Drosophila melanogaster: one gene and its partner. The protein of the gene in region 1 interacts with the protein of each later gene in a pairwise test. Each region holds a gene or a part of one and is shown on either strand. Other genes may lie near its edges.

Region 1 (5,285 bases):
AGAAACTAAAAATACACCTCCATAATAGTATAGAAAAACCAAAAATGTATTTTTAATATTGTGGCTTCTACTGAACTCTACACTTCTAAAGTTAAAGCAAATAAAAAATCATCGTTTCTAACAGCTGTACCCTTGACTCATGTTTGTGCCATCACTGTTGCCCGTCTGCCGACACTGCTGACAAATTGACAAAACAGCCGTTTTACAATATGGACGCCGAAAGGCAGAGCGTAAAAACAGCAACAACACAAACGCTGGACGAGAGCGGCGGAAAAAAAGAGAGGATGTTGAGAAGGGGGCACAGACACGAACGACGAGACAAAAAAGGAGCACATTTATTCCAGCAACAAGAAAACGGCATGGAAATGGAATGGAATGCGACACACGCTAGCTTGCATGTGTGTGAGTGAGAGATGGGTCTTAATGGTGGTGGTGTTTTTGTGCCGTATTTGTTTTGTCGGCAAAACGGCGGCAAAAAGCAAACGAGAGAATTAGAGAGAGCGCGAGTGATACGGTGACGGAGAAAAGGGAGAGCACTAGCAAAGTAGTAAAAATAATCAATAATTTGCGTGATAAAAATGCAAGCCAAGCTGTTGACTCGCCTTGTTTTTATTTGAAACAAAAGAGATTTCGATTAAGATGCAAACTTACTGCAATTCCTCATCCAATTCCTCGGCGCTGTTGTATTCGGCGTGCTCTAGAATAACTTCCTCCGTTTTGATGGCAACCGGTACGGCGGACATGTTTAATCGTGTTTGTGTATTTGCTTACTATCGTGGCCAAAATGTCTGTGCCACGTGGTTTTTGTTGTTGCGCTGCTACTGCTGCTGCTTGACGGCTACATAAACATTTGCAATTTATTTATAGCCTGTTAACTTTATTGTATTTCGAACATACACATGCGTCAGCTGGTCTCAGCTGCTTTTTGTATTTAGCGGCAAATTGTTTGCCCGTCTCACTCACACTCGCACACACTAGCACTGCACACACAAGAGAGAGAGAGAGAGATGGGGATGGAGAGCGACTCTTAGCGCGTCCAAAAGTTCTTCAATTCACTATTCTGCACTCTATGACTTTTGCGCTCTTAGTGAGCATGAGATTTGCGTATTCAAATTCGCAGATGTTTTTTGTTTTAATTTGCCACCGCACTGGCACCAACACACGCGCGCTAATAGATTTCTGTAGACGGCGAATTGGCTGCACTGTACGATTTTTCCGATCGGAAGATGCGATATCCGTCCGGTCCGCTACGTGCGTTCAATTCGGCGATAAACAGCAGAGTGACCACGGCTGCCAAGGAAAAAATCGCACATAGGGAAATACATTGATGGCACTATCGATTACATTGATGCCACTGCGATATTTCGTATTTTTGCGCTTCACAACACTGAATTTTCGTTTGCTAAGGCGCCACCTATCTGCTTAATGTTTATATCCACCAATACGCCATCTGAATGGGTAAATTTGCAAAAATTGAAGACCGCGTTGTCCCAAAAAATTTCATAACTTTATTAATTTTAAACTAAAACTGAACTCCAAATATTTAAGTATTACAATATTTAAACATCGAAATAAGCGCAATTTCTACATTTTCTTTGTGAATATTGTGAATTATGTTTTCGCCGCTATTAGCCAACCGGTATTATGAATTTTCTTTCCGCAGCGAAAATTCGCCCAGTATTATGAATTCGCTTTTCGCCGTTAATATTCGCTGTGTTTCTGTGAGTTCGCTTTTCGCCGCTTGAATTCGCTGTTCGTTAAGATTGGTTTCGAATCCTTTTAGCAAAGACTCAACCCAAAACTGTGCAAACAGAGTGGCCAGCCAGCGAAAAAAAATTAAAAAGATTAGGTCGCAAAAAAAACCCTATCGCCTAAAACCATTTTCATAATATTTACCGTCGCACTGCATTAAATTATTTCATCGAATCTCCAGTTAATCGGCATTTTGAAGCACAAGAAGCACTTCTCGAATCAACCGAAAGCCGGAGAATGTAAAGATGTTAAATTACATCAAGAGGCACGCCAGTGAGTTAAAGAAATTAAAGAAATTTCGCTGCTGTTTTCACCCAACTCCCCTTCCCCGTTTCTTCTTCACCCCTCTTCCTCTTCTGTTGACACCAATTATATTTGGTTTTTTGTTGATTTTTATTTAGGCCGACGTCGCAGCAGCCAAGATGCCACGGATGCCATTTGTGGCCAAATGCCAGCGTATGATGTGGACACCAACGACGTTGCTGGAGCTGGTGATGCAGCCAACGCTCACAAACGACACTCGCTGCGCTCCACAACCAGTTTCTGCGACGAAGTGTTCCTAGAAGCGGAGGAGGAGGGCGGCGTGGGAACCACAGGAGGAGGAGGAGGAGGAGGAGGTGGTGGTGGTGGTGGAGGAGCCCCCTCCGATGGCATCAGTCTCGCCAGCAACGATGGTAATTACCTCATTGCCCATTGTTCAATTGCTCATCACGTTGGCACCTTTGAAACTGAAATGATTGGCAAATCGCAGCGTTATTCTCGACTTTCCATGATAAAACGTAGATAACACTGTTAATGCTTATAAGGAGCGATTCCACGTATCGAAAATCCTTAAAAGTGTGTCTACATAATAGTTGTAATTGTTGTAATCTTGAAACTCATTCACATATGGCAATTGGCATTTATGCTTTACTATATAACTATACCTTTTGCTTTCTTCCCAGACATTTTCACCTACAACTCACGCCTCTCCATGAATCTCGCTTCCATCGTCAACGATCCGAACTGCCTGAGCTACTTTGTTCAGTATCTGGACACCCGACAGGCCCTGCCGCTGATCAAATTCTACTTGGACATTGAGAACTTTAAGCGGGCGGCTCTGACGCAAGAGAAGGAGGAACCAGAGGAACCTCCTCGCAAGGCAATAGAACAATCTTCTCCGCACAAAGATGACAAAGATGTACCTGAATTGAAGACGCTGTGCGATCTGTCAATGCGCAAACCCCTCACAGACGACGAGAAGAGCCGCATCTATGCGGAGACCAACAAGCAGCTCAATAGGCAAAAGTCTGGAACGGATAGTGTGCTGAACGCCGAGCTATCGCGGGCCAGCATCAGCGATGCCATTGCCATATACCAAAAGTATCTGATAGTGAACGCCAGCCTGCAAGTGGAGCTGCCCATCGTCATCCTTGCGCATATATCGCTGCTACTTTGCGGAAGGGATAAGTCCGAGTGTAGCAAACCAATTCCGGCCAGCTGCTTTGACGAAGCTAGAGAGTTTGTGCTGGAGCAGCTGGAGCGGGATCATGTGCAGGGATTTCTACAGAGCGGCTACTATTCTACATACTGTCTGGAGTTGATCGAAGGCGGCTCTGTAAATATCTACGATGTCTTGAACAGCGAACTGGCTTTGTTCTACTTCACCGAGTACCTGGAGCAGCGACAAGAGCGTGAATGCCTGGAGTTCTGGATCACCGCCATTAACTTCCGCAAGAGCTTTGCTTGTGGCGAGGAGAAGGAAGAGGATCGCAAGGCTGCGCAAAGCGATGCCATGATCATATACGACAAATACTTCTCCCTCCAGTCCGAGTGCCGTCTGTGGATGTCCCAGAAGCTGCGCTTACGAGTGGAACAAGCGATCTGTGCTCCGAATGAGCAGTGGCAAGCCTTCGATTTGGCCCTCTTGGTGACGGCCAAGTATCTGGAGCAAAAGTATTTCGCTGACTTTCTAAAGTCGCACATCTTCGATAACTACGTGAACGAACTGAAGGTCAAGAGAGGTTTGTTTGAATATATATACTTCTGTGTCACTGTGTTGCACTAACCTAAGCTTACTTTTTATTATTCAGATAATTCCACCACTCATCCGAATCTCCAGCACACGCTGAGCTTGCGAAGAGCTGGCAAGTCCTCCAATGGCCAACAACAGCGACATCGAAAAACTCTATCCATGTCAGACTGCACGCACATTTCGCAGCACAACACACTGCTGGCTTCCATGGATCAGGCGCCGTCCAAAACAGCGCTAAATCATCAGTCGGGAAATCTCAACATCGATGCTAGGCAGCTAACGAATCCACAACTTTTGTGGCAGCGTCCTGTGGGCGCACTGAAATTCGGTTTTGTTAACTCCTTGGGACGCTACGAGCGGGATTTTGAGGCCGTGGACGCAGTGGCTCTGAAATCGCAGCCGTGGTCACTGAGCGTCAGCGGTAGCAAGCTGAAAAATGCCATGCGAAAGCTGGTGAACCTGCCGGAGGATAATGTGCAAGAGGAGATAGCCTGGCAGGTGGCCGAAATGATTGTCCGGGATGTTACGAGTGTCACTCTTAGTGGCAAGACTCCTCCGCTGGCCTGATGTGCTTTACCATTACGGAATTTATTTCATATTTATTCTCATTCTTTTACAAATTACTCTTTTTTGCGAGAATCTCCACGACATGTGCACAAAGAAGAAGTCGCAACAGAAGCTCTCTCTAGTACCCTCTCCTTATGTACAAATTGTGTTGAACAAATCAAATACTTTACTTTAACTTATTTTAATTAATGCTATGGGCTTTGAAAGCGCATTATTAACTAAACTATCGCTCGCTCATTTGTTATTTACAGCAACAGAAGGCAAAACTCAAATATGAAATAGAAGCTAAGTTACTTCATTCCGTTTAAATATGATTAAACAATTGTATAACATAATAATGTATATGAATATTTTTGCATACTGATGATACACTACCAAGGAAGATTTATTGTTATGAATAAACTTTTTCAGTAACCAAATTTTCTCAATGCAATTATTTTATATTTTCATCGCAATCTACATAACAATCCGAATTTGGATTCATCTGTCACTACAATACAAAATGTCGACGGAAACAGAGACAGAGACGCAGGAAAAACAGATCAATCTCTTGTTGGTGGAAATGGAGAAAATCGAGAAGGAACTTGAGCGCACGGAGCAGCAGCAGCAGGAGCCGACGGAGCCGTCCAATGGCAATCTGGAGGAGCAAGTCCGCAAGCTCAGGGATCACAATTTGCGGGTGAAGCATCTGAATACTCAGCGTCGTCGCATCCTACGCCTGTTGCAGGGAAAGATGCTGCAGTATGCCACCCTGGAGGAACGTTTGCACAGGATTGGCGAACTCGTTCTCATCGCAGAGCTCCATTCGGGTGTGAAGACACTCAATCAGCGTCTGGACAGAATGGTGGAGAATTCAACTTGCTCCATTTGCCTGTTGCCCTGGACGGACAACGGAATACATCGCCTGGTCTCGCTCCGTTGTGGCCATTTGTTTGGCTCCAGCTGCATCCAC
Region 2 (4,273 bases), on another chromosome or scaffold:
AATTTTCCCCCCTCGAAATATCGATGTATATGTATTGTCAGTTAAATGTTTTGAGTTGTCTGTACCAGATGGCGCCAGTGTTCTGAAATTCAATTTACTTTTATTAATGTATAGCATTAATTGTAATACTCTCTGCAAAGCCAACAAGATTTTATTTTTCATAAATTTTTTTGTTTTATAAATCATAACGTATTTTATTTATAATATTTAAAAACGGTTTTAAATTTCCCATTAGGATTTTTTGAAATGTCAGGACAGTGCCTAAAAGTATGCAACCTCATATGCAGTTTGGTATGATTTCCGAGCCGGTTGGTATATTTGAACGATGACGCCTGGTCACACTGCTACAAATGTCTTTCGCATAGTTTAGTTTATTATTACGCGCAAACAACAAATAGCTGACCCTTCAAAAACGAATTAAACAGCGAACATGCAGTTCTCTTGGATGAAGGTGGCCATATACCTTCTTACGTTCCTAACCTACGCCTATTCAGGCTATGGATCCAGCACCATAGTCCACGTAAGGTGCACCGCTTCTCGTAGGAAATCTGTGAGAGCTAGTATCTGTTACTCCTGTATCTTCTCTCCCCGGATTTAGCTAAGGGATGCCATTATAGCCGCGGAGGCGATCTTTGGTGACGTGTTCAAGAACCTGATAGTGCTGGTGCGCAAATTTCGCACGGTCCACGAGGTTTTCGATGCGGCCGTGGACGAGAACTGCATATACCAGTGCCCCGCACCGGATATCGGAGGACCAGGTGTGGTGACGCACTGCGCATTATGTAAATTCCCCAGCATCCATATGTGTGTTTATCTTACAGCGCCCAGAGCGGTTCAGAATAAGTTCTATACCCCCACCGCAGATGGATGTGGTTCCTTGGGCCTGAGGATCAGCACAGACTATCTGCCGGCCAAGGAGATGGAGACATGTTGCAATGACCACGATATCTGCTACGACACCTGCAATAGCGATAAGGAGCTGTGCGACCTGGACTTCAAGAGGTGCTTGTACAAGTACTGCGACAGCTACGAGAAGTCCATAGCCAGCGATCTGATGATGAAGGGCTGCAAGGCGGCTGCCAAGATGCTATTCACCGGCACATTGACCCTGGGATGCCGCTCCTATCTGGACTCCCAGCAGAGATCCTGCTATTGCGCCCCGCCGAAGAGCTCCTCCTACAATGGCAATAGGCAGGGTAATAGCAATAGTAGGGAGAAGCAGCAGCGCCAGAAATATGGCTGGAAGGATCGCAACGAGATATAGTACAGGATCACTGGCTACGAGGGTGCGGGGACCTGGGGGTATCGGATTAAGCGTTAAATGTTTTATGTGTTGTGTTAGTCTATGAATTGGGTAGCCATGTCCATTGGACTCCCTTTTTGACGAATTTCATTATTGTATACCAAATAGTGGCATGCCAACGGTCCAGACTGTTAAATACATTGATATTTTTACCTATTATAAAGATGCTATATTTTTAAATCAACTGTGCGCTGATTAATCACCGGTGGCTTATGCTGACGTGGTCCTTTGGGCAGGATATGTATATTATTTATTAATCATATGATCGACAAGTGTGTAAACATATTTTAACCAGGACGATGACGTATTTAATTTGTTAAGCTGCCTGGCCAAAGCTAATTTAATAGTACAAATAAATGAATGGAGATCAAACAAGAATTCTATTATATCAAAAATTTTGACTTTAAGTCAAACTTAAGTTTAAAACTAAGGTGGAACAGAAAATATCTCAATATTTTCAAGCTAAACAGTTATTTTAAGAAGCCATTTCTCGCGGATTACAGCTGAAGTGCCATCCTAGCTTTCCAACACTACTCAGTCACACTACACAACACTGCACTGACTGAACCGAAAAAAAAACACACAGATTTTGCAATCCGCAGAAAAGAATTATTAATAGTATTTTTATGCGGATGGCCAGCGTGCTGAGGACCTAAGATGGGCTACGATGTGAATCGCTTTCAGGGGGAGGTGGACGAGGAGCTCACCTGTCCCATCTGCTCCGGAGTGCTTGAGGATCCGCTGCAGGTTTGTTTTGTTTGCAAAGAACGCACACCGCGAATCATACATATGCTTTAAATACAAACAATCATACATATCTACCGATTCAGGCCGTGATGTGCGAGCACGCCTTCTGCCGCGGATGCATTAACGAGTGGCTAACCCGCCAGCCCACTTGTCCGGTGGATCGAAATTCCCTGACTACTGCCAACTTGCGGGCAGTGCCTCGCATATTGCGCAACCTACTGTCCAGGTGAGAAAAACCCAACGCCTTCTACTCTGTGAACCTTGTGGACTCTAACTAATCTTTGACCCTTGCCAACCAGACTGTCAATCACCTGTGACAATGCGCCTTATGGCTGCACGGCTGTTCTCAAGCTAGACGCCTACAATTCCCATTTGGACGAATGCATTCACAATCCGAAGCGACCATTTCCCTGCGAGAAGGGATGCGGCTTTGACATACCCAAGGATGAGCTAAAGGACCACAACTGCGTGCGGGAGCTGCGCACTTTAATTGTCAAGCAGACGGAAAAAATGGGTGAGCTCAAATCGGAGCTCACCGACCAGCAGCTGACTATCAACGAACTGAAGCGCGAGCTGCAGCTATTCAAGGACTTTATGCGTGCCATGCGCGTCTCCAATCCTGCGATGCGGGCCATAGCCGACCAGATGGAGCGCGACGAGGTGATCCGCTGGAGCAGCACACTGCCCCGGGCCAGGGTTACGCGCTGGGGGGGAATGATCTCTACGCCCGACGATGCACTGCAGGTGAAGCCCAAATTCTAAATTTTTTTAAAACGTTAACTCACTTTTCATTTGATAGCTCATGATCAAGCGCGCTTTGTCCGAGTCGGGCTGTCCGCCACACATCCTGGATAGTCTTATGGAGTTCTGCCACGAGCGACGTTGGCCCCGTGGGCTCAGTTCGCTAGAGACACGTCAAACCAATCGTAGGATCTACGACAACTATGTGTGTCGACGCATTCCAGGTAACAATTTTAAACATAAATATTAACAACAAGGCTTTATCTTTAAACTTACTCTTCCGCAGGCAAGCAAGCTGTGCTCGTTTTGAGCTGCGACAACCTCCACATGACTGAGGACGTCATGATCGATCCAGGTTTGGTCATGATCTTCGCCCATGGCATCGAGTAGGCCCTCAGCCGCTGATTAACCACTTATCCTAGGTTAAATGCTAACTATATCGAACAGTGCTCAGTTTTGTTGATTCCTTAACGTAAGAGTAAGCATTAAAAACAATATTGTAAGGAAAAACTCGCAAAACAAACCATTCAAGCGCCTCATGACGACTTTCAAGTTGTACAAAAAATATATATTACTTTCGGTTCATTGTGTTTTATCCATTTAGTTAGTACGCAAATTCGTATACATCATCAAGTCGTTCGCATATACCCAATATTACATGTTTGATTAAGCGATCTCAACAAATGTCCCTTTGTTATCGTTCACTTCATTCTCATTTTGATGGAAGGAAGCTGTGAATGTCCTAATTCGCGTTTAAATTCGTATTGCACAACTTACTTAAATTTCTGAAATATTTGTCAATACTTTTAGATTAAATGTGGAAAGAGTAATAAACAGTTTATTTAACTAATGTATTCATGGAAGAATTTATTACTATAATAAACCATTTGCTTTTATAATTGATTTCTTTCAATTACGAATTTAAATTGTAATAGTATGTTACAACAAAATTCCATTTATTCATTTATTTAAGCACTCCCATGAATTATTTTTCTGAAAGATTGTCTAGCCTTTTAGATTAGAAATAGAAATAAAAGTGATTATTCCAACTAAACCGATAATTCTAGCCTCTTATCAGCTGAAAGGGCAGACAAGCGTCTGCCTTTGGAAATCCTACACAAATGTTCACTGGGATGCCCCCCACTTGCAAGCACCAACTCATTCGGGGAGATCTGTCCGCCTCCACTCTGTGGACCCGTAAAAGTTCTGGACAACATCTGTTTCCCGAAATGGAAATCGAAAAGCAACAAAAACCAAGCAGCAAGCAACCAAGCAACAAAATAAACAAAAGAAAACCAAACTAGTTCCTCCACGAGCTTTGGCCGCCAACCGGTTTCGGCTTTTGTACACCCGTTTTGTTTTTTTCCTACATAATACAACATTATACAAAGTTTGCATCGGTTACATGTGCCAAAAATCGTTGGATTATACAAGCCAGTTTTGGTTTTCAATTTTTTTCTTCGTATTTGCCGAACATCTTGA

Evidence for each region.
Region 2: the proteins of pkaap (region 1) and elgi interact in a two-hybrid assay, tested with the Drosophila melanogaster proteins (one large-scale study listed by BioGRID).

Annotation. Positions count from the first base shown.
Region 1 is NT_033779.5:16,286,447-16,291,731, forward strand, and holds pkaap (pkaap), read left to right. Parts: upstream 1-1,843; 5' UTR 1,844-1,997; coding exon 1,998-2,025; intron 2,026-2,153; coding exon 2,154-2,426; intron 2,427-2,696; coding exon 2,697-3,755; intron 3,756-3,824; coding exon 3,825-4,333; 3' UTR 4,334-4,749; downstream 4,750-5,285. Other genes in the region: crp (cropped), read right to left, coding at 652-743; CG17329 (uncharacterized protein), read left to right, coding at 4,896-5,285.
Region 2 is NT_037436.4:15,954,790-15,959,062, forward strand, and holds elgi (early girl), read left to right. Parts: upstream 1-1,760; 5' UTR 1,761-1,960; coding exon 1,961-2,050; intron 2,051-2,133; coding exon 2,134-2,276; intron 2,277-2,349; coding exon 2,350-2,794; intron 2,795-2,849; coding exon 2,850-3,015; intron 3,016-3,077; coding exon 3,078-3,181; 3' UTR 3,182-3,644; downstream 3,645-4,273. Other genes in the region: GXIVsPLA2, read left to right, coding at 431-520, 599-758, 822-1,264.